Nothobranchius furzeri: one gene and its partner. The protein of the gene in region 2 binds, or shares a complex with, the protein of the main gene of each other region. Links are inferred from orthologs where the notes say so. Each region holds a gene or a part of one and is shown on either strand. Other genes may lie near its edges.

The links.
Region 1: the proteins of activin receptor type-2A (region 2) and inhbab are in contact, whole or in part, in a crystal structure (PDB 7U5P), measured with the Homo sapiens proteins. The link is inferred for Nothobranchius furzeri from reciprocal best matches to the Homo sapiens genes ACVR2A and INHBA. Residues at the interface, in NP_001265508.1 of Homo sapiens: Asn36, Asp53, Lys56, Phe61, Thr63, Lys65, Val74, Lys75, Cys78, Trp79, Leu80, Asp81, Asp82, Ile83, Asn84, Val100, Phe102; in NP_002183.1 of Homo sapiens: Ile340, Ala341, Pro342, His346, Arg397, Pro398, Met399, Ser400, Met401, Leu402, Tyr404, Asn409, Ile410, Ile411, Lys412, Asp414, Glu421.

The regions. Positions count from the first base shown.
Region 1 is NC_091751.1:34,011,881-34,027,935, forward strand, and holds the start of inhbab (inhibin subunit beta Ab), read right to left. Parts: upstream 7,259-16,055; 5' UTR 7,080-7,258; coding exon 6,668-7,079; intron 298-6,667; coding exon 1-297. Other genes in the region: spectrin alpha chain, non-erythrocytic 1-like, read right to left, coding at 14,574-14,651, 14,860-14,895, 14,976-15,008, 15,081-15,185, 15,296-15,361. UniProt on the Homo sapiens protein: Inhibins/activins are involved in regulating a number of diverse functions such as hypothalamic and pituitary hormone secretion, gonadal hormone secretion, germ cell development and maturation, erythroid differentiation, insulin secretion, nerve cell survival, embryonic axial development or bone growth, depending on their subunit composition.
Region 2 is NC_091743.1:85,749,529-85,765,518, forward strand, and holds the start of activin receptor type-2A, read left to right. Parts: upstream 1-6,585; 5' UTR 6,586-6,815; coding exon 6,816-6,870; intron 6,871-15,990. UniProt on the Homo sapiens protein: On ligand binding, forms a receptor complex consisting of two type II and two type I transmembrane serine/threonine kinases.

The DNA of each region.
Region 1 (16,055 bases), on a different chromosome or scaffold from region 2:
AAAGCAGACAAGAAACTCGAAGGTTGAGGGAGCTGCTGCCTCTGTCCAGCAGAGACTGAATGCTGTGAGTCATAGCAAGCATATGCCAGCCACTGCGACGAGCATCCACCATCTTCTCTGAAACACACTCGTCATCAGGATCTCCATTATCAGGAGTCCGCAGCAGCCGCAACATCACTTTTCCCTTGACCCCATCTACTCTTGACATCTTCAGGAAGATCCAAACATTAGCTTGTTCCACCAGAGCAGAGCCAGTGTCCTTAAGAAGGTCAAAAGTCACAGAGTTCGGTGAGGGCCCTGTGAAGAAAAACATGTTGAAACAGTCTGTAAAACGAGATGCAGCAAAACATTTTTCCCCTAGGTTATTTTGTGTTTGTGTTAAACAGAAAAACAACCAACAGACCACACACACACACACACACACACACACACACACACACACACACACACACACACACACACATGCATACACATACACATACAAACACATGCACACACATACACATACAAACGCATGCACACAAACACATACATATACACACATAATCATACACACACACACACACACACACACACACACACACACACACACACACACACACACACACACACACACACACACACACTGTATTTAAACAATGACTATTAATGAATGAATGGAGCCTCTAAATAAATTTGATGAAAACAGAAACTAAAAAAAGAGCCCCCCCCCCCCCCCCAACCACCCCTGTTCCGCAATAATTACTGAGGCCCAGATTTGCATGAATACAGAATTTAGTCACGGCCTGAGGCCACACGGAATGCCCCCCCCCCACCCCCACCCCCACTGCTCGTTAATTCTGACAACCCTCTGAAGAGCTGATTAATGACACATTTCTTAGGATAAGGATGACTATTAATAGAACATCAATAGGAACATTTCTGTCAGTAAATTGGGAAGTACATGACTGTTTCACTCTCACACAAACTTTCTCCCATCTGCATACAGATTGGGAACAGAAATGGAACCTGTCTGACCTGAGCATGACTGACTAGAATATCAGTAACTAAACCCTGAATTGAACATCAGTAATTAGAATTTGATTAGAACACCAGTAACTACAACACCGGTAACTAGAACACCAGGAAATAGAACATCAGTAACTACAACATCAGTAACTAGAACATCAGTAACTAGAACACCAAGAAGTAGAACACCAGTAACTACAACACCAGTAACTAGAACACCAGGAAGTAGAACATCAGTAACTACAACACCGGTAACTAGAACACCAGGAAGTAGAACATCAGTAACTACAACATCAGTAACTAGAACATCAGTAACTAGAATGCCAGTAACTAGAACATCATTTACTAGAACATCAGTAACTAGAACATCAGTTACTAGAACACCAGTAACTAGAACATCATTTACTAGAACATCAGTTACTTGAACACCAGTAACTAGAATATTAGTTACTAGACCACCAGTAACTAGAACATCAGTTACTAGACCACCAGTAACTAGAACATCAGTTACTAAACATAAGTTACTAGAACACCAGTAACTTGAACACCAGTAACTAGAACATGACTAAAACACCAGTAACTAGAACATGATTAGAACAACAGTAACTAGAACCTGACTAGAACACCAGTAACTAGAACCTGACTAGAACACCAGTTACTGGAACCTGACTACAACACCAGTAACTAGAACCTGACTAGAACAACAGTAACTAGAATGTAACTAAAACGTGACTAGAACACCAGTAACTAGATTGTGACTAGAACACTGTTGACTAGTATACCAGTAACTAGAACATCAGTAACAAGAATGTGACTAGAAAACCAGTAACTAGAACCTGAGTAGAACACCAGTAACTAGAATGTGTCAAGAACACCAGTAACTAGAATGTGACTAGAACACCAGTATCTAGAACGTGACTAGAACACCAGTAACTGGAGCGTGAATAGAATACCATTAACGAATGTGATTAGAACACCAGTAACTAGAACCTCACTAGAACACCAGTAACTATAATGTGACTAGAACACCAGCAACTAGAACTTGAATAGAACACCAGTAACTAGAACATGACTAGAACACCAGTTACTGGAACCTGACTACAACACCAGTAACTAGAACCTGACTAAAACACCAGTAACTAGAACATGACTAGAACACCAGTTACTGGAACCTGACTACAACACCAGTAACTAGAACCTGACTAGAACAACAGTAACTAGAATGTAACTAGAATGTGACTAGAACACCAGTAACTAGATTGTGACTAGAACACTGTTGACTAGTATACCAGTTACTAGAACATCAGTAACAAGAATTTGACTAGAAAACCAGTAACTAGAACCTGAGTAGAACACCAGTAACTAGAACCTCACTAGAACACCAGTAACTAGAATGTGACTAGAACACCAGCAACTAGAACTTGAATAGAACACCAGTAACTAGAACATGACTAAAACACCAGTAACTAGAACATGACTGGAACACCATTAACTAGAACATGATTGGAACACCATTAACTAGAACATGACTAAAACCAGTAACTAGAACATGATTAGAACACCATTAACTAGAACCTAACTGGAACACCAGTAACTAGAACCTGACTAGAACACCAGTAACTAGAACACCAGTAACTACATCTGACTAGAACAACAGTAACTAGAATGTAACTAAAACGTGACTAGAACACCAGTAATTAGAATGTGGCTAGAACACCGGTGACTAGAATGTGACAAGAACACCAGTAACTAGAATGTGACTAAAACACCAGTAACTAGAACATGACTAGAACACCAGTCACTGGAACGTGACTAGAATACCAGTAATGAACGTGACTAGAACACCAGTAACTAGAAACTGACTAGAACAGCATTAACTAGAATGTGACTAGAACACCAGTAACTAGAACGTAACAAGAAGCCTAGTGACTAGTACACCAGTAACTAGAACATGACTAGAACACCAGTAACTAGAACATGACTAAAACACCGGTAACTAGAACGTGACTAGAAAACCAGTAACTGGAACGTGACTAGAACACCAGTAATTGGAACCTGACTAGAAAACCAGTAACTAGAATGCGACTGAATATCAGTAACTAGAACACCAGTAACTAGAACCTGACTTGAACACCAGTAACTAGAATGTGACTAGAACACCAGTAACTAGAACCTGACTAGAATGCCAGTAACTAGAACCTGACTAGAACACCAGTAACTATAGCCTGACTAGAACACCAGTAACTAGAACGTGACTAAGACACCAGTAACTAGAACCTGAATAGAACACCAGTAACTAGACCCTGACTAGAACAGCATTAACTAGAATGTGACTAGAACACCAGTAACTAGAACGTAACAAGAAGCCTAGTGACTAGTACACCAGTAACTAGAACGTGACTAGAACACTAGTAATGAGAACATGACTAGAACTCTAGTGACTAGAACACCAGTAACTAGAACCTGACTACAACACCAGTAACTAGAACACCAATAACTAGAACCTGACTAGAACACCAGTAACTAGAACGTGACTAGAACACCAGTAACTAGAACCTGACTAAAACACCAGTGACTAGAATGTGACTAGAACACCAGTAACTGGAATGTGACTAGAACACCAGTAACCAGAACTTCACTAGAACACCAGTAACTAGAACATGACTAGAACACCAGTAACTAGAATGTGACTAGAACACCAGCAACTAGAACGTGAATAGAACACCAGTAACTAGAACCTGACTAGAAAACCAGTAACTAGAATGTGACTAGAATATCAGTAACTAGAACACCAGTAACTAGATCCTGACTAGAACACCAGTAACTAGAACGTGACTAGAACACCAGTAACTAGAACCTGACTAGAACACCATTAACTAGAACCTGACTAGAACACCAGTAACTTGAGCATGACTAAAACACAAGGAACTAGAACCTGACTAGAACACCAGTAACTAGAATGTGATTTAACACCAGTAACTAGAACGTGACTAGAACTTTAGTGACTAGTACACCAGTAACTAGAACGTGACTAGAGCCTGACTAGAACACCAGCAACTAGAACCTGACTAGAACACCAGTAAATAGAACATAACTAAAACACCAGTAACTAGAACGTCACTAAAACACCAGGAACTAGAACCTGATAAGAACACCAGTAACCAGAACACCAGTGACTAGAACCAGACTACAACACCAGTAACTAGAACGTGACTAGAACACCAATAACTAGAACATGACTAGAACACCAGTAACTAGATCCTGAACAGAACACCAGTAACTAGAACCTGACTAAAACATCAGTAATTAGAACCTGACTAAAACACCAGTAACTAGAACGTGACTAGAACACCAGAAACTAGAACCTGACTAGAACACCAGTAACTAGATCCTGACTGGAACACCAGTAAGTAGAACGCGATTAAAACACCAGTAACTAGAACGTGACTAGAACATCAGTAACTAGAACGTGAATAGAACATCAGTAACTAGAACATGACTAGAACACCAGTAACTAGAACCTGAATAGAACACCAGTAACTAGAACCTGAATAGAACACCAGTAACTAGAACACCAGTAACTAAAAACTTACTAGAACACCAGTAACTAGAACCTGACTAGAACATCAGTAACTAGAACGTGACTGAAACACCAGTAACTAGAATGTGGCTAGAGCACCAGTAACTAGAACGTGTCTGGAACACCAGTAACTAGAACCTGACTAGAACACCAGTAACTAGAACCTGACTAAAGCAACAGTAACTAGAATATGGCTAGAACACCAGTAACTAGAACGTGACTAAAACACCAGTAAGTAGAACTTGACTAGAACACCAGTAACTAGAACTTGACTAGAACACCAGTAACTAGAACTCGACTAGAACACCAGTAACTAAAACCTGACTAGAACACCAGTAACTAGAACCTGACTAGAACACCAGTAACTAGAACGTGACTAAAACACCAGTAACTCGAACATGGCTGGAACACCAGTAAGTAGAACCTGACTAGAACACCATTAACTAGAACTCGACTAGAACACCAGTAACTAGAACGTGACTAAAACACCAGTAACTAGATCGTGACTAGATTACCAGTAGATAGAATTTCACTAGAGCACCAGTAACTAGAACCTGACTAGAACACCAGTAACTAGAACTCGACTAGAACACCAGTAACTGGAACGTGACTAAAACACCAGTAACTAGATTGTGACTAGAACACCAGTTAGAATGTGACTAGAGCACCAGTAACTAGAACCTGACTAGAACACCAGTAACTAGAACTCGACTAGAACACCAGTAACTAGAACGTGACTAAAACACCAGTAACTAGATCGTGACTAGAACACCTGTAGCTAGAATGTGACTAGAGCACCAGTAACTAGAACCTGACTATAACACTAGTAACTAGAACTCGACTAGAACACAGTAACTAGATCGTGACTAGAACACCAGTAGCTAGAATTTGACTAGAGCACCAGTAACTAGAACCTGACTAGAACACCAGTAACTAGAACTCGACTAGAACACCAGTAACTAGAACGTGACTAAAACACCAGTAACTCGAACATGGCTGGAACACCAGTAACTAGAACCTGACTAGAACACCAGTAACTAGAACCTAACTAGAACACCATTAACTAGAACTCGACTAGAACACCAGTAACTAGAACGTGACTAAAACACCAGTAACTAGATTGTGACTAGATTACCAGTAGATAGAATGTCACTAGAGCACCAGTAACTAGAACCTGACTGGAACACCAGTAACTAGAACTTGACTAGAACACCAGTAACTAGAACGTGACTAAAACACCAGTAACTAGATTGTGACTAGAACACCAGTTAGAATGTGAGTAGAGTACCAGTAACTAGAACCTGACTAGAACACCAGTAACTAGAACTCGACTAGAACACCAGTAACTAGAACGTGACTAAAACACCAGTAACTAGATCGTGACTAGAACACCTGTAGCTAGAATGTAACTAGAGCACCAGTAACTAGAACCTGACTATAACACTAGTAACTAGAACTCGACTAGAACACAGTAACAAGAACGTGACTAAAACACCAGTAACTAGATCATGACTAGAACACCAGTAGCTAGAATTTGACTAGAGCACCAGTAACTAGAACCTGACTAGAACACCAGTAACTAGAACTCGACTAGAACACAGTAACTAGAATGTGACTAAAACACCAGTAACTAGATCGTGACTAGAACACCAGTAGCTAGAATTTGACTAGAGCACCAGTAACTAGAACCTGACTAGAACACCAGTAACTAGAACTCGACTAGAACACCAGTAACTAGAATGTGACTAAAACACCATTAACTAGATCGTGACTAGAACACCAGTAGCTAGAATGTGACTAGAGCACCAGTAACTAGAATGTGACTCTCTACTAGAAGTCTACCTCCTGAGCTGCTGCTACCCAAGAGACACTCAGACATCGCCAATCAGAGACCAGGTTCAGGTCCAACATGTCCTCTGAGCTGTGGAGGACTTGTCCTAATGTGAGGGAACCTTCTGTCCACACATCCTGCTGCCACAGATGTTTGATGGTCTGCCTGTCCCATTGAGATGCTGGGACCTGGACCTGGACTCCAGCTGATAAATCCAAACCCCACCTTTTGTGAACTTCTGAGCTCACCTGGCTCTCCAAAGGTGATGATTTCTGATGGTGGTTCAGGTGGTGCTGAGTATGTGGGACTTGAGCTGTCCTCCTGGATCTCCACGCTGCCATCTTCAGACACTCGACCAACATGCAGCTTCTTGATGGCGTTGAGAAGAGCTGCTCGAGGAACTGGCTGTGTCAGGTTGGGCCGAGCGCTCAGGTGCAGCATGTTGAGGATGTGACGCTTCACCGCCTCCACCATGCCGCTCTGACCTCCTGACCAGGAGGAGTTGGTCTTTATCTGGGACAGAAAGCAAGATGGACAGGCAGAGTTGGCTGCTCCCTTCTGGAGCTGCTGTGACACGTCCAACGATGTAGAGACAGTTGGAGAGGCATCCATGAGAAGGAAGACCAGCGCCCAGAAGAACACGGAGACCCAAGAACACATAATGTTCTGTGATGGTGAAGGTCCCACAGAGTGTCTAGAAGTCTGAGCAGACGGGCTCAAAAGCAACCTTCAGTTCAGGCCTGGGTCCATTTAGAGGTGGATTCTGTTTAAGGAGCAGAGGTGGTTCTGATGGTCTGCTGCTGATTTGTTTAGTCCAGAAGCTCTCTGGTCCTGTGATGTCCTGGTACTTGTTGGTCCGGAAGTTCTGCTGCAGTAAGCAGAACCGGGTCACTGTAGTCTCCCTCTCTGCTCCCTGACAGTAGTTATACCTCTGAGGCTGTGTAATCCCTCCCTGTGTCCACAGAGGGGTTTCCTTCTGAGTCACACACACACACACACACACACACACACACACACACACACACACACACACACACACACACACACACACACACACACACACACACACACACACACACACACACACACACACACACACACACACACACACACACACAGGAACTCTTGCTGTGGGTAAAATCACCCAGAATATCTCAGGACTGTTTGTGGTGTTTCCTCCTGATTAAACGTCACGACAGAAGAGGAGGAGGAAAGAGGAGGAAGACTGTCCCTGATTCATTCATACCACACACACATGAATCAGAGCAGCATCTTCGTCACCTCACGTGGAGGAGAACCTCGTTGGTGTGAAGTTATAGATAGAAGATGAGTTTGCTGTATCAGTAGCAGATGGAATGAGTCCGTCTGACATTAGCTCGCCCCCTGCTGCTGACACGCAGGAGTTACAGCATCCTCAGCACCTGAGCTCAGAGCTCTCGTTCAGTTTGGCCTGTGCTAGTTTGGTTGTTTCGGTCCAAAATGTGTAACTGATGGAGGTTCGTAGACAAATGCAAGAGAACCGTTTTATTCATTTTTTAAATCTACACAATGTATTTATAGCTATACTTTGCTAGAATGTTGCTAAGAGGCATGAAGCAGAGGTGGTTCTCCGACCCTAACCCTACACATCGGGTCCTAGTTGCGTGTGACAGGAGGACACACAGGTAGCAGTTAACAAACAAGCAGCCAAAATAAGACGCTAACACATTATCAGTATGCTTGAAAGGGTAAACCAAGGTTCATGTACTCATTATTTTACTAGTATTTGGTTCTTTAGTTGCTTCACATAACAGACGTACTTTCTAAGTCTTTCTGTCACATTGGGTTTTGTTTGAAGACAAACAACACGGACCAGACCCTTCTTATCTGGGAAAGATTTTATACCTCTTCCAAGTATCCAAGAGCCCTTAGGTGTTGTGGAGTCCATAACCATGATGACGTCTCCAGGCAATAAACACCTTTTCCTTTTGATCCATTTCAATTCAGTTTATTTATACAGCGCCAAGTCAGGACCAGAGTCGTCTCAAGGACCTTCTGTTATGGAAAAATGTATGTTTATTAGTTCTTGATCATGAAAACTGGCGACAACCTAAATCTCCTCCGGCGCCGTGCTTTCGCTGGGGGTCAGTGTGAGGATCTTGACATCGGGGGGATCCACGATTTACTCAAGTTCTGAGAGATTTGGTGAGACAAGTTTGTACACATTCTTTAGCTCAGATGGCACTGTATCATATGCAGGTTCTGCAACAAAAGGCAGACGTAACCCTAGGCGGAGGGGCCAAGGAAGAAAATTACAAAACGGCAGAGATGTTATTTGCTGGAACTGCCATAAGAGGGGACATATAGCCCGTAACTGCCGGAACAACCCATCAAGTGCCACAAGATGAGATACCATTCTATCACCCTCCAGCACAGCCTGCCTCAGAAATGCAGAAGGCTGCTGTGTTCTGTCTGAGCCACCAAGGTCAAATCAGTTGAGGCCTGAGGCTACTTAACTAGAACATAAAGATAAAAAATTAACTCCTTGATGCGAAATGGTCACTACAATAGACAGTTTCTACGTTATTGCATTTGAGCCCCTCCATTTTTACTTCAGTAAGTCCAGCCAACATATTTCATGTTCAGAATACACGCTGTCCACTGAGGTGAACATGTAGTAAATTAATTGCAAATTATTAAATGTTACAAACAATACAGCATTTGTTGAAATTTGTTTCATTCACACCCAAAGATGAATGAGAATAATTGTTAGATAATCATGGCTGAAGATTTCATAATTCATGTATCAAAAGGTTAGGTGCGACCGAAATATTTAATTCCTGGTATCTGGTGACTAATATAATTTGAACTATAAACTGTGTCACTTTTAGTGGCTGAAAGGAAAAGGGTTTTAGTGTGCTGAATTGGGTTAATTCCAGACCTGATTTTTATAATCAACAGGTCTGGATTACACCTCAATCTGTGTGTGTGAAACCAAGCTAAAGGCCTGTTACCTTCCCTTATCATGTTTGTGTGTGTGTGTGTGTGTGTGTGTGTGTGTGTGTGTGTGTGTGTGTGTCCAGGCAGCCTTCTAGCCCTCTGAACTGTGATGTCGTAAATTAGGGACATGCCTTCACTCTGCTGATATGGTCAAACGATTCTTGTTGTGGATATAACACAGTTGATCACAATGTTCTTTTAGAAAGACTTGAACATGTTGTAGGGATCATAGGAACAGCGCTAGGCTGGTTTAAATCCTACCTGTCTGACAGATTTCATTTTGTAAATGTACATGACAAATCGTCTTCATACTCCAGGGTTACTTGTGGAGTACCACAGGGTTCAGTGCTTGGACCAATTCTTTTTACTATATATATGCTCCCAATTGGTAAAATCATTAGACAGCATGGGATAAACTTCCACTGTTATGCTGACGATACTCAGTTATAGTTATCCATTAACCCTGATGAACCTAATCGGTTGGATAGATTACAGGCTTGTCTTGAGGACATAAAAAATTGGATGACTCTAAACTTTTTGCTTTTAAATCAAGACAGTACGGAAGTTCTCATCTTTGGACCAGAAATCCAGAAAAGGAAATTGCTTAGCCAATCACCTGACCTGAATGGCATTACATTATTACAAGGAACACATTACAAGGAACCTTGGTGTTATCTTTGACCAGGACATGTCATTCAAATCCCAGGTTAAACAGGTTTGTAGGATTTTCTTTTTCCACCTTCGGAATATTGCTAAGATTAGAAGCATCCTTTCCAGGAGTGATGCTGAAAAACTAGTTCATGCATTTATTACATCAAGACTGGATTACTGTAATTCATTACTCTCAGGAAGTCCACAGAATGTAGTTAAAAGTCTTCAGCTTATCCAAAATGCTGCAGCTAGAGTTCTGATGAGAATTAAAAGAGAGATCATATCTCTCCTGTCTTAGCTTCCCTACATTGGCTACCTGTTAAATTCAGAATAGATTTTAAGATCCTTCTTCTCACATATAAAGCTCTCAATAATCAAGCTCCATCATACATCAGTGATCTGATTGATCCATATGTTCCTAACTGAGCACTTCGCTCTCAGACTGCAGGTCTACTGGTGGTTCCCAGAATATCTAAAATTAGAATGGGAGGCAGATCTTTTAGTTATCAGGCTCCTGGAACCAGCTCCCAGCCTTAGTCTGTGAGGCAGACACTTTGTCTACTTTTAAGAATAGGCTTTAAACATTTTTATTTGATAGGGCCTATGGTTAAAATCTGATGTTAGCCTAGATCTGGACAAGTGGGGGAGTAGAGGGAGGTGGAGTGTACAGTCGGTAAAGACGGCTCTCCCTTGCCCTGCCTCCAACATGCCTCCATCTAAATAGGATAGATTATCCTGAGTTATCTCTGTAGTTATGCTGCTATAGGCTTAGACTGCTGGAGGATACACTGACCACTTTTCATACTCTACTGCTTTCTTCTACAATCTGCTCTTTAACTGTATTATTTTCTGCAATTTCAGCTGTTAACTTTATTTTCTCTCTAAGTGTTTTTCTCCCCAGAAGAAGCTACAATGATGTTCTGCTGAGCTGTGGTGGCCTCATGGAGGGGGCCACCATCTAGCACACTGCTGCTAACCACTAAAACATTCTCCCTCTCCTGATAATAACTTTTTTCTTTCCTTGATGTTGGATGTGCTACTACTAGTTCATCCATTTAATTATAGATCCAATAGGATAAATACAATAAAGTTTATCTCTCACCAAATAGAATATTTACTATGGCATCACAATATAACTATAGACACATTACTTTGTCTGTGTGTGTGTGTGTGTGTGTGTGTGTGTGTATGTGTGTGTGTGTGTGTGTGTGTGTGTGTGTGTGTGTGTGTGTGTGTGTGTATGTGTGTGTGTGTGTGCCTGCTCTGTCTTCTCGATCCCCAGTGAGTCGTGGAGGATGGCTGCTTATACTGAGCCAGGATTCTCTGGAGGTTTCTTCCTGTTAAAAGGGAGTTTTCCTCTCCACTGTCACTTTATGCTTGCTTAGTATGAGGATTGCTGTAAAGTCACTCACACTAGTCAGTGACTTGATGCAATTTGCTGGGTTCCTTATATAGGAAACATTTCTGATTGGCTTAATGAACTGACCTGAATTGGAATGCTTATTATGTGAAGTGCCTTGAGACGACTCTTGTCGTGATTTGGCGCTATATAAATAAACTTGAATTGAACTTGAATTGAATATAACATGTTTTGACCTGAACAGATGTTGGGAGTAAGCATGTATGTTATCTTCTATCCTCTGTGGAGTTGGTCAAGATGCTATAAACATATAAATAAGTTAACGGCTCTGTAGTGACTTTTTATGCCTGTCATCGACTAGTCACTGTCACGTGATAATGACTGACAAGATGCATGTTACGATCCCTGAGTTCCCCAGCGCCCGGCTTCTACTCCGCTCCTTTTCAGCACCATGGTCAGCACCCTGGAGAGCACCCGGCCACACTCGCGCAGCTGATGCGCATCAGAAAATCCCCCGGCTGGAGCAGATAAAATCAGCGCTGCACTGCATGACGAGGAGGACAGAGAGGATGGAGAGGACTGAAAGAAGGCTGAAGGAGAGGACTGAGGGAGAGACGGATTGAGAGGACTGGAGAGGAGGATTTGGAGAGGACTTTGTGTGTGAGAACTTTTGGGAACCCATAGTTGCCCCGGATGGTTAATTTCAACCCGCATGAGAAAACCCTCGGGTTAAGACTGGGTTTTCTCTTGCTCTTGATTGAGCTGTCGGTAGTGTGGGTGAGTTGGTTCACCAGTGGACCTTTTGGTAAGGCCTCCGGGCAAGCTTCTGTTCCTGGTTCATTTTCAGAACCAGTGAGTTTCCATTCTCATTTTATGGCTCTTTAAGTTACTTTAAGCCCTCAGCATTTGTCTCCTGCAGCATAAGTTAAACTCCCCTTTTAATTAAACAGGTTTTTCTCCCTTTGGGACGCTTTTAGTTAATAAAAGGACTTTCTTTGATTGTGACTTGGTGTCAGATCATTTCCTTTTAAATTCTCACGTTCCTGTGTTGGGCCTCCCTGCCTCCTAGACCAGGTTGAGGTCGTAACAATGCAGTCCTCGGAAAAGACAGCAGGTGATGAGCCCCTGCGCCTCGGGAGGCGGAGGCGACGCGCTGTGCCAGAGCATCGGTACCCATTTATCATGGGTTAGGGAGGAACATGATTCAAATGCAAATTCAGCTAGTTAAGAAACAACAACTCCACATATTATTAGGGTTTAAGATGGCCAGAACTTTTTCCATAGGTCATCACCATAGACTGTAAATACTGGACAAACGGATTCCATTGGCTTCAATAACACGTTTGTTGTCTATAATGGGAGGTGGACACCACCGCCATTTTGACCGTGTCACAGGTTCCGTCCAGCCCAGACAATTCTATAAAAGGGAAGAGAGGAGGCGCTGAGGGTGTGGCTGTAAGGCTGGGCTCGAGTGACGACACCCAGGCGAACTAGCTACGAGCTAACCTGAAGCTAACCCTGGCTAACCCAAAGCTAAAGCGGAGGTGGGAGCCGAGCTAACGGATGTAGCCACCTAGCTTCAACCCAACCGGAGCTAACTGGAACACCCATCGACCTGAACCTTACACGGAGTTTAGGTGGAGGTTTTCTGCACCTGTTCGTGAGAAGTACCTGTATTAAAAAAGTTTTAAATCGGTAAGTTTATAATTTATTTCCGTAATGAAAACATTTTGCTTTGAGCAAGTTTTCAGTAGTTTTTTTTTTGGCGCTATCACTCCTGAGTCGCACCAGCCATTAAATGTATCATGAAGAAGAGAAAATATATTTAAGTCGTATTTTGGGGGGATATTTTATTATCTTTCTTACAAAATCTGAGACCAAGCGTTTCACATTGCAACACAAGCACCGGTAACCACAACAGAATGAACAGCCAGCAGAGGAGAGGATGGCGGTGTTTGAAACCCTCCCGGCCGGCGTGTAGAGCTCATTCCTGGGCTGGAGCCGGCCCTCAGCACCCCGCCACAGGCTCTAACAGATGCTGGCGGTGTTTCATATATTTCCAAAACGTAATACTTGTTTGTATCTTGTACAGCCAACTAGCCTTTATTCTGGACTCAGTACAATTTACCAAAAGTAAAGAGACATTCTACAGATGAAGTAAGCACAAGATAACTTACTGGAAGACAGAGTTATCATCAGAACCAGAACAAGAGAGCCTGATAACAGTCATGTGAAAATAACAGTTAAAAAGTATGTATGTATAATAGAAATAAAAATATATTAGAATTAGTGTAACTCACTGTGATCCAAACAAATCAGCCATAGCTGATTAGTAAATATGACATGAGGTCTGGGAGTTTTTAAGTTTCATTCTTTTATTACATTTTTTTCTTAGATCTATTAAAAGGTCACCATGGCAGCCTGTGTGTCTCCAACGTCAGCTACACAAAGCAGCAAGTGTAAGTACCAAGTACTTGTCTTGACCACTTCATGAATGGTTTTGTACTTTAAACAGCTAGGCCAAACCTGTTATTTTTTCCTCCATAGCCATTTGGATCATTGGAGACAGCTGAGTGAGGCGTGGTGCCCAGAGAGCTGCAGAGACAACCTTGGCCTCCCTGACGTCTGTGTCTCTTGGTTTGGTTGGGGCGGACCATCGACATACATACATGTGCCGACACTTTGCGCCCTGTTTTATAAACTGTAGTGTTAAAAATAAATGTTTTTGCTCAATTACTGGAATTTCTTTGGTTAAGACAAAAGTGAGGAATAATCATTTACAAGTTATTTGTACAACAGGCCCATTTTAAATCCCAACAGTTTCTTAGCAGACAATAGAAATGTGTTCTTTACTAACTTTACTTGGTTTGAAAATCTTACTAAAATAAACTTGAGTGCCGTATTGCAAAACCCAATCATACTTGTTATGTAAACATTAGCTTTGTAGATATTTTTTACAGATATATATTTGTGTGCAACAAAAACCAAACTTAAATAATTTGTCATTCTTTATTGAAAAACAACAAAATACAGGTATACAGAAGTGTGGGAAAATGATAATGTGAAAGTATTGCACTATAAATGAAGTGAGATGAGATGAAGGTGAGATGAAGGTGGACGCCAGCGGGCTGGACGCCGGACGAAGAAACCTGGAGACGGATCGCTCAGACAGGAAGGGAAGAGCTTCCTCTTACCTTGATGGAATTAAAGTTAGCCGTCGTCTGAACGCCCAACCGTACGGTCTGAGGTCAAAGGTCACAGGAAACACACACCAGTCAGCAGTCATACAGATGCATAAAGATAACTGTAGCCATGGCAACCAGCTGACATGTCCCCACTTTCACCAGCACCTGGTGCCTGCCGGGTCACCTGAATTCCTGTGTGATGTCAGCACGGTCGGCCGTGACTGCTGCCATCAGAGGTGACCTCTGATCAGCTGAATGAACTCACCTTCCAGGGTGACGCCGTGTTAGAGTCGGCTTCATCCTGTAAACAAACAAACAAACAAATGAGTGGTAACATAAACACCACGTCTGGTTCTGGTGGAGGCGGAGGACAACATGCACCTTTCCAGGAGCAGAACCCAGATGTTTTTGTTGCTACAAACAGAGACGAGCAGAGTTAAACCAGGAAGTGAGAGGGACCAGCTGCTGCAGACAGGTGACGCTCACCTGAGCCTGAACCATAGGAGCCTCCTCAGCCATCAGACCTTCTGACTCCAGTTCAGATGCCACCTTGTTGATGTCCCTCAGGCGGGACTCGTTGGCCTTCAGGTCCTGCAGGACAAAAGCACCTGCTGATTACCTTGTTGCGTTTGGGTTAACAGGTCCGGTGTTAGAACGTGGTGGATAAGAATGTTCTGACGGGCCGAGGGTTCTGAACTCACCCTGCAGGACTGGGCCTGCTCCTTCAGGGCCTGGATGCTGCTGCCGTAAGCCGACAGGTCCGACATCAGGGCCTCGTGCTTCTTCAGGAGAGCCTGTGGAGCAGAACATCAGAACCTTCAGCTCGTCTGACACAAGTGGAGCTTTCTCGCAGCGATGGTCCAATCGGATCCGCCACCGTAAAACAAACCCTGCTCAGTTCACCGCAGACGCAGCTCTGCGGGTGTTTAGTGGAAAAGCGTGAGCCTTCTGCCGGCTGCCACGTGTCATGGCTGCTCTGCAGCGGGAACACACATCACAGCTTGTAAACCGTTTGAAATAAGAGCGACGGGAACACGTTTGTCATCACTTCCTGTGCGAGGCCAGCACTTCTACCCCTAACCCATGAGACGCTCAAACGAGCAACGACGTCTGGTTGACAACCGAAGGAAATGACAAATACAGAAACACTAATTATGAAGGACTGGAAAGAGAGCAAAGAAAAGCGATTGGAGTTTCTCAGGAAGGGACTTCCATACCTCGGCCAAGTCCTCGTCTTTCCCTTAGTCTGGACTTCCAACGATGGGCTCCTTCTCCCTCATCCAGGACTCGGCCTCATTAGCATCCGCAAAGTACTGCTGGGCCTGCAGAGAGTCCTCCAGGTCCTGCCTCCTCTGGGACGCCTTGGCCTTCAGCGTGTCCCAACGTCCATGAAGCTCCCACAGTTTAGTCTTCACTTCCTCACCAGCGAAGTGACCTGGACCCAAAAAAAGTGAGCCAGAA
Region 2 (15,990 bases):
CAGCAACGCTGTAGCTCCGTTAAGAAGTAAACAGATATTTAGCAGCAAACCCAGAACAGATTGAAGAACGCACCGCGGAAAAAGTCCAAAAACATGAACGTTTCTTCACCCGTGAGTGAAGGAGTACAAAAAAACAGAGCAAACATGGACGGAAACGACGGGAAATGCGGGTTTGGAGGTGCATGAAGAGGTGAAGGAGAATAAAGGACTAATTTGTCCGCGATATAAAGTCTCTGAAAAATGTAAACACATTAGTGAATACACTATCATGCCCTATAGGTTATAAATTGTAAGTCGCTTTGGATAAAAGCATCTGCGAAATGAATAAACATGAACTATCGGGGACCAGATACATGAATGTTATCATGGCATGATACCACAGAACAGCGCTGCACCCTCTGTTGTCCTGGCGGTGAATTGCTTTGCAAGACTCTGCTGCCTGAACAGAGGTTTGCATGTAATAACCTTTCCAACACTTTCTGTGCATCTCTCTGTTGTGGAGCTCACGGAGAAGTATAAATCAGGCGTTAGTCTATGGGTGACGCCATATTAGACACCATGTTTTTTTTTCTACGGGAGCCCGTGAGGACAACAAGCATTAACTGATTTGTATCAAACTGTTACAAAACTTTTGCCATCATAAACTTTGTTTTACACATTGATCTCTTCACTCATTGCCAGTGATGAAAGGGAGTCTGAGGTTCTTGTTACTTTGCTGGAGGTTGTGCTCCCAGGGATGTTTGACCCTAAAGGCCCTCCGTTGGTAATGTCTTACTCAAACACAAAAATACCGCTTGCTTGCAGTGATTTAGGGATGTACTGCCCCCTGGTGCCAGGGAAACTACACACTGTCATTTCAAATTAAACAAAATGAACACAAAGTCCATTTATTAGAAAAGCAGATTAGAATAAAATTCTAACGGTCGATAAGTTATTCTTCAGGAGAGTTAATCCTTGTGTTAACCCTTTAAAGGCTGACAAATTGATCCATTTATTGGAAACGTTTAACGAGGAAATTATGTACAATATTAGAACAGTAAAGACTATTTGTTGGCACATTACTAAACCATTCCACAAGTAGAAAAATCAGTGGAGTGGAATTTTGACGAACAGAATAATCCTGTTAAATAGATAGAGGTCTAAGAAACCTGGGAATATTAAACAGGTAAGGGGTAAAGACCAAGCCCCACAATGCGGGACAGAAATTGAGGCCAACGCGGAAGTGACAAAAATTGCAGTTCCACCCTCATCCACTGGGGGCTGGTGTCAGAAGCGAGCAAATCCTCATTGACTCCCATGTTAAAAATACCAATTTCACAGCAGAAATAAACATGTTTACAGCCTGGTACCAAAACATGTTTTTGGTTTAAATGATCTAGTTTATAATCATGACAACTCTGAGGGGGGTGAATGTTTTTCTCACTCTTCTGTTTGTGTATTAAAAGCCTAAAATTCTGTATAATTAATGAGCATCAGACCCACGTGACCACAGAGCTAGCTCCGTGGAAAGGCCTCAGTAGAGCCTCAGTCTGAGCCTCGGCCTCGCCTGAAAACTGTTCCGCGATTTTTAGTCTCTGAACTTAGTTGTAGCGTTTTTGCGTTCATTTTTGGATATTATTTGTGCAATTGTTGGACAAAATGACTTGCTGTGGCATTAATTGCACTAAAAGAGCGTCCAAGGAGTCTCCACTTCATTTTTTTTTCGGTAAGTAAAATTATATTTATGTATTTTAGGTCACTGCCGAGCTGAGCTTAGATTTTAACATGTACTGTTTAACCATGAAATTTAAATGTAATAGGGTAAAACCCAGTGCATTTAACATAATGCTGCACTTTAGAAAATGGGTTGAAATATAACATGTTGGTGGAGCTGGGTTCCGACTATCGGTATGGTCCCCTCCCCGCAGCTCACCGCATCTCTGATCGCCGCGGCGCTCTTCTGCTGCGCGGCTGCTGGCTTGTGAAGCTCTCGGGAGACCTCTGTGTTCCACCCGGTTTTACCCAGCGGTCAGCCCGGCGTATCTCTGTCTGATCGCGGCTTCTGTTTGATGTGCGGGCCGCCGGCTTGTGGAGCTCTGGGATGGAAACCTTTCCACCCGGTTCTCCCCAGCGACAGCTCTACGCATCTCAGATCGCAGCGGCGCTTGTCTGCTGCGCGGGCTGCCAGCTTGTGCAGCTCTCGGGAGACGTCTGTGTTCCACCCGGTTTTACCCAGCGGTCAGCCCGGCGTATCTCTGACTCAGAAGCTCTGGTGTTGTGCACAGTTATCTCCGGTTGTAGCTAGGTTGCTACCTCCGTTAGCTTAGCTCCCACCTCCGCGTTAGCTTTGGGTTAGCTTCAGGTTAGCTTGTAGCTAGTTCGACCGGGTGTCGTCAGTTGATACCAGCCTTACAGCCCCACCCTCAGCTCCACCTCTCTTCCCTTTGTGGAATTGTCTGGGCTTGACGGAACCTGTGACACGGTCAAAATGGCGGTGGTGGCCACCTCCCATTTATCTTCAAAAATGTGTTATTGGAGGCTATGGAAACCCATTGTCCAATATTTCTATGTCGATGGTAAAGACTGATATTGTGCTGATGGTTGTAGATCAGAAACGTCACTTTTTTCTATAAACTAATAAAAATAAAAGAAAGAAATGCAAACTGATCAAAGATCTGCCAGACTTCCATAGTCACACCAGGTGTAAGAAAACAGCCATCAGCATTTGTTTTTCAGTTAAAGTATTACTGTTGCTAATTTTCATTTATCAGCAGATGAAAAACTACAACAAAGTTTTGACTTCCTGTTTCCTACATAGAGTGAACATGTTGTGATTTAAAGCTGTAAGGAAATAAGGAACGATAAGGCTTAGCTGAGAGCGGGAAGTATCTTAATACCTGAACATTTAAACTGCTGAAATATGTTTAAACAAGTTTGTTTTGATGTTCAGCATCCTAAAAGTAATCTGTTCTTTTTGATCTGAGCTCCAGGAATAAAATCACTCTTTGAAGACGTTTGAATAGCAAGCTCTAACAAACAGGCTGACCACAACAACAACAACAACAATAATAATTATTATTATCATTACTATAATAATAACAATATTAATATTAATATTAATAATAATAATTATTATTATTATTATTATTATTATTATTATTATTTCTTTGATAATACTGTTTTGTGAAAAGGCTTTAATCTGTAATCTTTCCTTTGGATGATTATGTAAATATTAAAACAGTAAAACATAAAAAACACTGATTATTACCACATATTTTATATATTTGTTTTCATGAATAAATTGTTTTATTCATTTGGCTGACAGTAAAGAACTTGTTCAAATGTTTTTGTTTATTTGTGCTTTATATTTTTAAGTTGTTCTTTCTTTTTATCTTCAATAATTCTCTTAAATTTGATTAAATTTGATTTTGTCATGACTCTGTTTCATACCATGATTTGTATTTTGGTGGTTTAAGGAATTAAAAAACTAGAAAAAAAAAACAACTCAAATTTTCATCCCAATAAACAAAGTAATTATATAAATCCTTGTACTGATGGGAATAGATAAACAGGACAATATTTTCTCATGAAATAAACTTTTCAGGTGCTTTCTGTTCATCACTCATGTATTTTAACTCCTCTGGTGTAAATCAGTTCCTATCTTTGGGATTTCCTACTTAAAAAGACTCTTTAGATGCTGCTGTGCAGCCTGATTTGTGGTCTGAATGAGAAACTCCATCCTTCCATTCATCATTCATGTTAAAGTGTCCACTTGCTCCCAATCCTGCAGCTCTCGCTGTCACCTGTCACAAATCCTCAGATAGGAACATTTCACACAGCTTTAGAACTATTTACATCCTTCGTTGCATCCAATGCACTCTGTGAGCAACTTGCTTTTTGACTTCCTTTGACACTCAATACTGGGTACATTAAGCCACAGAACTGTGGGGTTACTCTGTGCACGAGGTCCATTGGTTCCAGTAAGGTGCATCAGCTCAGCTCTCATTAGCAAGCATCACCATACGTAACTCGGGCACGTGTAATGCCATTAGAGGAGATTTGGCATCTGATAGAGGAGTAATGGGATTTTGTTGGGTAATAAATCTCCAGGAGCAGAACTGAAGGTCTTCCCCACTCAAAGAAAACCATTTTGAACTTGTGACCATTTTTTTCTGTTATCGTGGCTAAATGAATCAGATGTTTGAGGGCTGTGGTCCAAACTGATGAGGTTACGTGCAAAAATTTGGGATTTATTATTTATTTTAAATAAAAGATCACAAACTAATGTTGGTGCTTCTGGTTTGGAAAAACAAAAACAAAAGAAGCTTAGAAAATCCCTCAAAAGTAAGGCCAATAGATGGTGTAGAAGGTGACCATGCAGCTATAGTTAAAGCTAAAACTTCCTGTGACGCCATAAAAGCCTCTGAGGAGTGTAATCTGATTAAGGAGTGGTGACTGCAGCTGTGCTCCCAGTGTCTTGATGCATAATCAGTATTTTATAACTCCTTTGTAGCATCAGATAAATCAGAATCACCGTTAACATCTCCAGAAACAGAGCGGATGTGTTTCCCTGTTTCAGATATGTGCTCGGGGGGGGACCTCTGCACCCCTCGCCGGGCCTGTGCAACCCCTCCACCCATCCATCCCACTGGTTCTGATAGTGGGTCGTGTGTTTTTGCTGAAGATGAAAGCTCCAACATAGAACAGGTGACTCAGCTTCCAGTTTGGTGGAGAAATCCCCCGAGACCTTTGACCTCCTAATCGTTCAGCTGCGCTTATAGTAGGAGATCTGCTCCAGGCTATTAGAGAGATTAGTGCCACACAGATCTGGAACCAGGCCAAGCCGATACTTCATGGCATTCTCAACATTTATTACTTTGCTCCCAGCCGCATGTTGATACCTGATATGTGACCTTTTAGTAGCACATAGCCTGACGGTATACATGTCCTTGAAGGGAAATCAGATATATAGTTTGATCCTCAAAAACATCATTACAACAGGTTATAGAGCTGATCTGGTGTCTGATTCACACTCACATCATGTTGTTCGTGAGGTTTGTTTTATTATGGTAAAAAATTGCAAATAAACCATTTTAATTTACCATAGCTTAAATACAAATTATACAACTCATTGTTGGAATCCTTTTGTGACCATATAGAATAAGGATTTGATTATGATTTAGTCTGTGTTTTTTAAATAACCATTCTGACCACCCGTGTTTTTCATAACGGGACACTCTGGAGAGTAAAACAAGCAACCTTCCTGAACGAAAACAATCCCTAAGCTCGCAAAGCCGCTCTAGTAAACTGAGCAAAATCAGCAACCTTTCTACAGGATGTTTACATGTTTGACCTTCAAAATAAAGCTAAAATTGGTTATGACTTGATTTCCAACGGAAATTTCTCACGTCACAGCAGCAGCAAAAACACACACTGAATATAAATAGAGCTACAATAAAAACAACAGCTACGTTGTCATTTAAAAATGAAACAACAGTAGGAGGTTTTTACCTTTAGATTGTTTTTGACTTACCAACATTTAATACTCTCACCATCTAATAACGGATTTACTTTTTACACATTGACAAAGGCATTTACAACCATAAAAAGAAAAAACACTGACAAATTTTGATTGCCACTTTTAGATTTGAAATTATTTGTGGAAGATAAATAAACGATTAAATCAAATACATCACCTAATTGGCTTTAATTAACCCGACAAGCTGAAAGGGAAAAAAATACTAAAGGAACAACACTGATTTAATCCATTTGCTAGATGTTTTGTTGGTGTTGTTTCACAAATGATCCAGATTAAATGCTGAAAAGCAGAGTGCAACACCTTGCTGCTGCATGTTGGAAAATATTACCAGATCACGACAGCTAAATGTCAAAATGTAACTAAAAAAAAAATCACTCTGAAATGAAATCAAACTTCAACGTGAGTGTTTTATTTTGAAAACCTTTGCCGGAAGCCTGCCTTGCCAGCATTCCTGACCTGACAAGTTCCAGTGACGCCATCTTGAAATTGTCCCGACCAGTGGAGGAGACGGACTTGGAAAATCCTGCTCGTCCAGAACGCGGTACCAGTACGGCGCTCAAATGAATTGTTTCAGTTATTAAGGAGCGTTTTGACTTGATAACTCGAGTCACCGTGACCAGTCGCGGTTGTTTGAGTCACTTTGGAGCGGACTATCTCACCATCGGGAGCCGCGCTGCCGTCCTAGCTGGAGCGGACTGAGCTGTGTGGTTGTGGCCGGCCAGCCCCGCCGGACCGAGCGGACGTTTCCACACGGAATACCACGACAACAAACGCTTTAAACCTCCGCGTTCCTCGCTCAGAAGGTGTGGATGTGTATCTCTGAGACATTTTGACGTTTGAACAGCAATGCTAATGAGCTCACCGAGGAGAAGTTTGATTAGAGAGCGGAGTGCGCTTGATTTCAAGTCCGATGGATGTTAGCCCTGCTCGGCTGTGGCTCGGCTTTCTGCGCCGCTGTTCTGAAAATAACTTATCAGGCTCAAGTGATCTGTTCATAACAATGCTGCAGAGCTTGCAAGTACACGGCTGCCCTGGTGCCAACAAGTCGCCCTCCATTGCTTGTGTGTAAACCTGGAAATCTCCTCTTCATCCTGGTCCTTTTTTTTTGACTCCTAAGGCTTACATTACCTGGAATATTTTGGATTTGGACTTTTAATGATGCTTCTTTTCCAGAGACGGTGCTCCTTGAAGCAGCAAGACATTTAATGTAATCCAACTATTGTCTTTTTTGAGGTTTGTTTTGTTTGGAGTGCTTTTAAATCACCTTAACAGCGAGAGGATCAGATTCGGATGGAAAATGGGAGACGCTACAAAACTGGCCATCGCCGTTTTCCTCATCTCCTGCTCTTCAGGTGGGTGTGGAGGGGCTGTGCATGGTTCATTGTCAGCCGAGGGGAATCCAATGCAGTGCTCCTTGTTACCTCTGCAGAGTGCAATGCGCTGCATGTTCTTGTGTGCAAAGAATGCAATGTGTATTGCAATGCATCCCTGTGGGAAGGGTGGAAAGCAACTCACTTGCAGCCTCTCTTATTAGTGCCCTTTATTTGCTGCCTCCTTGTGTGATTGTGCATGTTGCATATTTAGTCCGCTCAAGATGGGGCCGCAGGCTCTCAAGGGGCCTTTGTGGAGCTCTGAGTGGAGCAGGCTTGTACAAATTGGGCTTTAGTTTAGGTTAATCGGAAAACTAGAGAGGACTTGTGTAGAGTAGGGGATTGTAGAGTAAATAATTGGATCAAAAGTCACGTCTTGACATCAGATGAGTGTGATTCGTAAGGAGACTGGATTTGTAGACTGGAAATGCAAGAAAACAAGATCAAAAGTTTGGGATTACTTCTGGTTTCCTGTTGAAAAGCACATGACATGAGTCTGAATGTAACTTGAACAACATGTGCTTTTTGCAGTAAAACACATTCCAACGTATTTTAGTAGAGATGCGCATGTTCTGGTATTGTGGGTTAGATTTCAGATTTGTGTACAGCTCTGACCAGCTGATACTGATTTATCTTGTAAATCTATAAATAAGCAATTGCCTGTTTTTGTTTCGTAAGGATGAGTTGTTTTTATGTTTAAATTGGTCAGTTTTCTTTTTAATTAGTGTATCGTAAGTTTAAGACACAAGTTGATGGTTTGCTCACACCAGTTATGTCTAAAACCTGATCAAACAGGGCACTGAGTTTCCTACACAAGAAAACACAACAAAGTTCATTGAGACACTGACTTGTTGTGTCAGAGACTTCACAGCAATCCTCATACCAAGCAAGCATGTAGCGACAGTGGAGAGGAAACTCCCTTTTATTATTATTTAATTATTAATATTATAAAAGGCTCAATAATATGCATTAGATTGATGTTTAGTTCCCTTTTTCCCGTCTGATATTTATAGTTAAAATATTTTTAAAAATTCGACCTACATTTCAGTAACATTTTAGGTTTGTATTAATAACACTCATCTTAGTCAAAATAACACAAATATATCCAGAAAAATATAATGCATTTCATTAACATGCATTTGTATTGTAAATGGTGATAACATTTAATTTCTGCTGCTAACAATGTAATGGTGGCATGTCTATTATGTACGGGTTGGCAATAATCCAGTTTAAATTATGTTAAAAGATGGAGATTTCTGTGAATTATATACTACAATGCATTGCCGTAGAATTGTAGCAGTAATGTGACTAATCTGCAGCGGTTCTGATCCGTAGCGCTGCAGGATGCAGAATAAACAAGATGGTGGGGACTTTTCATCCACTTGTATAGTTTAGTCTTTCCTAGTTTTACGATCATCATATATTTTTTTGTGCGCCACTTGATCGTGAGACTGCTACCCGTTAGCTTTAGCATTAGCCAATCTGCGTGTAGCGGCACTTTTGATCCCAACCTTTGGACCGGTTCTGCCTTTGCTGGTTCCTGTATTTTCCTCCACTGCATCCAGATGACCACACTGTGCGCCAGTAAAAAGCATTTTTCTTACATGTAACTTACTTTTGTTCAACAAAGTTCTGGGGAAAATAGTCATTTAAAGATGTTGCACCAGTGCTACGTCTAAAAATAGACAAGACACGCACAGTTTTTTCGTCGCTCTGTACAGCCCTGCTCTGATATGGAAGAGCCTGGGGGACAATCAGGACGTCAACAGCACCAACCATAGATATTTACCAACTAGCGAGAAAAGCAATTTTTGCTCTTTGTCTGCAGCGTTTTTTTTGGTGCACCGCTGCTGATACTGCGTCCCTGTAGTGGCGCAACGCTGCAACTGCAGTTAAAATAACACCCATATAGCTGGGGCGGCACAAAATTAGCTGGAGGCGGCCGCCACGCAAATTTGAATGCAGTAAAAACCTTGGTACTGTTGTTATGAAGAGCTTTGAAAAATGTCAAAATCTTTTAAAGTTTTACCCCAAAAACTTTTTCAGTAAAAAAAAAAATATATATATATTTTAAATTGGTAAATTTCCTAAACTAAATAAAATATCAAAAATCCATCCACATCGTTTGGTCATCCACTCGTCCTATCTTGTCAGGCAAAGTTTTTACTTAATTGAGTTTGACGGCCAAGAGGAGTTAACGAAAGTATGTTTGACATATTATGCAATTTTCTACCAATTTGCATACGTGTAAAACTTTTTTTAAATATTCGTCTAAATTTGATAGACTCAAAGAACACCCAGGATAACAAAATTTGTTTCTAAACTGAAGACATTTGGAGAAAACTACCAAAAGCATTTTTTGGGTACAACAGTGCCACCCAATGGACACATTTAAAAAAATATATGTGTTTGTAGATGACACTATTATGGATATGATCTGTTAAATTCTGTATAGAATATATATTTTTCATGAGTCAAAGGGCAAATTTTTTTTAAAGCCTATAAGCCACGCCCACTTTGTAATCATTTTTAGTATATGGCTTAAGGGTCCGATGATAAATATCTGTGCCAAGTTTTGTGGAAATCCATCAAGCCGTTTAGCTGGAAAAAACTTTTTGATTTCTTAGCACCCCCTATTGGTGAATTAGACCAAAATTAGGTACATATGGCTTACAGATCACACTTTGTAAGACTCTAGAGTTTCATCATTTGATCTTGAAAAATGTTGACAGTATCGTAATTTAGGGCATGTGCTAGCTAACGCACTGGATTTGACATTGTGTCATTAGCCCAATTTTCAATATTTCTGCAAATTTCTTCATAACAACAACTTCTCTCCATCAATAGATCAATGTACAAAGTTTCAGGTTGATTTGATGAAAAACAACGGATTAGTGATTAAAACTAGACTTCGTGTTTATTGCCATTTAGCAAAAATTTAGTTAGGCGGAAATGGGTGTGGCCAATACAAAAAAAATACAGAATCATCCAAGGATCAAGGATATTAAAACGCTTTTGAAGGTAAGACCTATGGTTTGGGAGTTATTTGCTAAAACGTATTGACCTTCACAATAGCGCCACCTAGGTTTTTCTAGGTATGAATTTTTGAATCAGAGTAGCAGCCAGGATTTTATATCAGACCGCCATGTTGGATTTTTCCTGGCTTTTTGTGGCTCATGTGTCCATATAGAGTTAGCGGAGAAGAATAAAAATGAAAAATCCGTAAAAAAAATCGGCACTAATTCGGACACTGACTACACTGCCATGTTGCATTTCTGTTTATCACGTTGGTCTAAAATGATCACGTGAGAGCCGCTTCACTTCTTTTTCATGATGCCCAAAACAAACTGAAATAAAACAACTATCATAAAAAAACGGCATTACTAAAAATTAATTACAACTGAAGACGCAAAGAGCAAGTTGCCTCAAGAGGTCGGAGGGACATGTAACAAAAATGGGGTTAACCTGATTGCGTATTTTGGCCGTGTTGTTTTGGTGATTTAGGTCTTTCGACCGGAAAGGCATATTTGGGTAATTTGCAGCCAAATATTTTTGGTGGCCAGTTTTCGATGCAGCCCGGGGAAATGTACAAAAATAAATAAGAAATCAGTGCATTTTAAACACACCTCCGATATGTGTCAGCAGCATTCTAACCAAAATACCACATTACAGACTTATTGTTTTCCACAAAAAACAAACAAAACATCCAAATAATCCAAACACATTAGGATTATTTATTATTAATATTTATATATTTATTATTAGTTTATTTTTTGTGACCTAAACACAACAACAGCTTGATTTCCATAGCAGAATTGAGATAAACTGGTTCTGCATTCACACATTGTAGTGGCAGTGAAGTAATTTCTAGCAAATATTTCAGTGACTCGTCCCCATTTCCATGATGGCAAGCATTTCATCTGTGTCAACAAGGTGATAAAAGGTCGGCCAGGAGGTGCTGTCTATGTGAACGTAGGTGGCGTGACCAGCGGATCTGCCTCTACTGGTTTGCACGCTAGATATTTGAGAGGAAATGCTTGTTGAAGCCTCTGTGCCAAGAGGAAATGAGTGTTTTTAAAAATTAATTTCCAGTGTGTTTTACAAAAGCCAAAGCTAAACCCCCGTGGTTTTGGCTAATCTGTCGTTCCTCGGAACCCGAACGGGGTGTGTTGACTTGTCTGACCTGGTCGGGTCGTCGAGTTGCCGACGGGAAGGTGCCAAATTTCATCCCGGTGATTTTAAACTTCCAGTTTTGATAGCAGCAGTTTGTGTTATCTGATGATTTGACTGGAGACAGGAATTGCCTAAGCAGAGATTGCAAAACAAAGATAAGGCCTGGGGGCCGATTTTCTCCGGTGGCTGTGTGCAGGAAAGCATTCAAGTTAAGTGGAGAATGACGTTTCAGTCAGATTTCTGTCTGCTCCACACCGGGGTTTGCATGTTTGTGCAAGAAAACAAAACTGGTTTATGAGCAGCCTGGAAGACATGGCGTAAGTGTCCAAGGAGAGGGAAAACTCGGTATAAAAGCTGCAGAAGGACGTGAAATACGCTCTGAAGTAGCAGTAGAATAGTTCCACTGTGAGCCCTGGAGTGTCTTTGAGCCTTTGGGTAAAAATGAAAAGGTTTCTCAAATTCGGTAATAGTCAGGGCGGCTCCGAGTGTGAGCCAGGTGCTGACTGTACTGCAGAGTGCAGCAGATGATTATCCTACTTGCTCATTACTGTCTGAAGTGGGGAAATGAATGGTTTCCACTTGAAGTAGAATAATAATTCACTGCAAAATCCAAGTTGAATTGGCTGAGTTTGTGATGACACCAAGAACCCTCTGATGAGGGCAGAGCACTTGGCCCAGGGAGGGTTTTTCTCAGGTGCTCTACTTCTGAGTGCAGCAAAAAAAAAAAAAAAAAATTATCACATATTCTGATGTTTACCTAAAAGATGGGTACTTTGTACACAGAAAATGCAAGTTTAGCCATTTTTTTTCTTTATTTAAAGTCAAAGTCTGTTGATAACAACCAGATTATGAAGTCATACAGCCTCTGAAATGCAAACATTACATTTTTTTTTACTTTTATTGTGAGGCAAAATAGGGAAAAATAAGCTAAACTTTTTTTTTATTTACAGCGGAGCTCTTCTAATCATGAATATTTAATAATTTACAACATATTTTTACACAGTTCACTGAGAAATTAATATTCTTAAAGGGACATTATGGAAGTTTGACAGCAAAAACATGTATAGAAATAAAACATTTTCTCCACTTATGTGGTTATGATTTAAGGCTGTTGCTGTAATTGGGAAGTGAACTGTGCTGGGCCAAACTAGGAGGACATTAAGATTTTCTGAGGGAAAGAGAAAAACAATTGTCTACCTTTCAGAAGAGGAACTGGTAAAAAACTACATGGAAAATATGTGAAAACGTTTGTTTTTAACCCCAAATTGAACAAGTTTACCTAGATCTTAAAAAGCAGCTCAGATGATGAAACTGCAACTATGATTCTGATAACAAGCTAACAAATTGAACTAGCTCCTCTCAGATAACCGGCTAGCAGAGCTTCTGACTGACAGTTTATGTGCAGCAGCAAATCAACTATCCTGATTAACAAGTTTATAAAAGCTCATAAATGAAAAATCACTTTGATGTGTGGGGGAACTTTTCACGTTTAAAAGCAGCGCTGATTCCAGAAACCTCAGCACAAAGTGCGTTCGTTGCTCTGAGCCAGCATGACGAACAAGGGAACGGCGCCGCTTAAACTCAGTTCGGGTGTTGCTTTCCATAAGGGTCTACGTAGGGGCGGGCGTATTACGTGAACGGACCCATCTGATTGGCCGCATATCAGAAGGACTACATTTGATTAGTCAAATAATACTTCCGCGTAAAAACAGCTGGTTTACAAAAAGTTGATGTATGACACAGATGGAAATGTTTGAACCAAACATTTATCGCCATTTTTGACGTGCTTTGCGATGGGCCTATCGCACGTCCTGTTATCCCGATGACGATAATTTTTTGATATATTGTGCAACCCTAGCAGGATGCAATAAATCATCAGTGTTGGTAATGTTATAGCAAATACGTTATATTTGTGTTGGAGGTAATAAAATCACCACTACTATTGTTTAGGGCTGCCACGATTAGTCGACGCGTCATGACATCGTCGGCAAAAAAAATAGTTGACACAGTTTATTGTATGAGCATGTTTAAAATCTCGCCTGCTGCGGCACATTCGGCATTTGCTTCCTGCCTCTCTGCTCACTAGTCGCCGTCCGTGTCAGCCGCGGCTTACATATGTCGAGGCACATGCGCAGTAGTGCCACTCCAGCTCAGTGTTTGGATCAGAATCACCGGAGAAATAACTCATCATAGCGAGTCGGCAACGGAGCTCAAAGGTTGAGAAGCATTTTATTAAAACAACTGAGAAGAAGTAGAGTTCAGACTCATTTCACGGGAGCACATCGGCGATGCACGAGCATTTTAAAAGCAAGTACGTGACTGCGGAGATCGTAGAGTCGCCTCTGTAAGTTTACCTCTTGTTAGCTGCTAGCATCATAGGTGTAGCAACAACTGTAGTGTTGGCGATTACATGTTTAGAACACGTATGTATGTCACGTATTCTCTCTAATGTTACAAACGCTGATGATTTATTTTATCTCGCTACGTTACAGAGCTAAAAGAGAGCGCTCTTGTTCTACAATAGGGCTGCAACTAACGACTAATTTAAAAGTCGACCAGTCACCGACTATTGAAACGATTAGTCGACTAATTGGATAATTATAAAATTTTTCTTAAATTTAGCATGAGATTGCTTTAATTATGTGAAAAATGATAATAAACACAAGAAAGATGGGTACTTCAATGGAAAATGCATATTTTATTGAACTTTTCTGCTGATAGGCCGATTCATACTAAAAGAAAATAAAAATGACCCTGTCTAACACCAATTAGGCACAGTGCTCAGTCAGTATAGACATAAATGCATAAATAAAATTAAAATATTTTTGTCAGGCACAGTCCCACATAACATTAAATCCCTCTTTTTTTTAAATAACGAAAATATGTTTAAAAATGTACAATGTACATCCAAAACAAAACATGGTTGCTTTTGTGATATTTAAATCTTACTGAGTTGAGTCAGACTCTGTTTCGTTCAACTGTCCGACGTGCTTTCTCTTTAAGTGTTCATGCATCACAGAGGTGCTGCCATGATGTGCAAGGACTGCTTTGCAAATAATACAGGTAGTCTTTTTATTCGCCGAATCCAGGCTAGAATGCTCCCAAACTTTTGATGTTTTGGTATGCGTAGCTGCTGTTTTGGACGCCGCCATTTCTGTTAGTTGGCGCTCAACAGAGAAGCTATATTGCGCATGTGCGACTCTCGGCAGAGATTGTAATGAAGTGAGATGCCTCACTCGGTCGGAAAAAACACGTCTGGTGACAATTGCTATTGTCGACAACATCGCCGAATCGTTGCAGCCCTATCTGCCGCTAAATATCTTTTTGTTTTTTGAAGCGACAAAGACGATGCTGTTGATGAATTTACAGAAAGCTGTGTCCTAATCACAAGCTTGCCATTTCCGTCTGTTCTGAAGGAAATAAAAAAAATTTGGGCATGTCTCCGTCACCCACGTTATGTGTCTCAGTCCCGACGCGGACAGAGAAGTCTAAACTAGGCTTGACACAGCTGGTCATTACTGCACATGTGCCTTGAGCAGAAAGCAGCAGAACGTACCGCAGCAGGCAAGATCAAAAGACAGCAATGCTTCATAGAATAAACAACGTTGATTATTAAATTAATTATCAACAATTTAGTTTGTTGACGTCATCGTCACAAATCAGCACTACACCGAATTGAGACAAAACTTCCTTCAAAGACCTTTCACAGTGACAGACCGGAAAAACGTGCATCAACTTCAATTAATAGCTTTTAAAGTTTGTTGAAACAACGTAAAGACAGATTATATGCTGGGTCCATCATGTTTTCATCCAGAAGACTAGAATCATTTGTTTTACAGCAGGTGCAGCATTGCTGAAGAGAAGAAGGGGGTTACTTCTAGTAATAAAAATATAAAAAAAAGGTCCACACTGGATTGTGTCTGTTTCCCATAACAGATCAGGGGTCCAGGATTGGCTCCAGCTTTACTGGTTACGGGCGTCTTTGTGATCTTTCTGCTCCTTCAAAACAGAAAGGCCCGTTTAAGTTTCGAGGAACTGATAATCTGGTGTTGACATTAGATCTGTTTGATAGGCCACCTCTGCCTCAGATTCTACGTGAGGTCCGACTGCAAACGGGTAAATATTTACAGTGCACACTTGTCAGTACCGTCACATTCAGAAAGCTGAGAGAAACTCTGCTCATTCGGTTTCCTATGAGATGTTTATGCTAACTTTGTTCCATAAACTAGCAGTAAAGCCATGCCTGTCAAACGACCAACTGACTACCAGTTAAAGTTGAAACAGCAAACTGAAGTATTTTCTTTCCAGCTGTTTTGTTTTGTTCTGTATTTGTGTACGAGAGTCCGATGGTTCAGATTCTGATCGCCGTCTTTCCGTTTGGCCTCCTGTTTTGTACACTGCAGCAGTTTCACACAGGCATTGATCCTCTTGCACGCCGGTGTAAAGTTACATCGACGTGGTGAGAGCAGCTCTGCTTTTTTTCATATAACCAATATTATTATTTTACAAATCTCTGCAGCACAACTGATCTGGTGGGTTCACTTCTTCTCTGCTGCGCTGCAAACCTAACCTGAAAAGTGATCTCAGTTGCGCTTCATTAAAGCTGCTATAGCAAATTTGGAAAACAAAGTAGCCTAAACATTTTTCATGCCTCTAAACAACGTTCTAACATAGTATAGCTATAAATATACTGCAGAGATTAAAAAAAAATGAAAAAGACTAATGAAGTAGTTCTCTCACATTTGTCTCCACCAATGACACATTTCAGACCAAAAGCAACTATTGGACCATACCAGGGTTTCCCTTACATAGGCTTAGCCGTGGCGGCCCGCCACAGCTGAAATCCCACCGCCACGCCTACAAGATCCCAAGTTTTTTCTTATTTTTTGTTTCCCGAAGAAGCAGCGGGAACTATTATGTTGTCGCTTG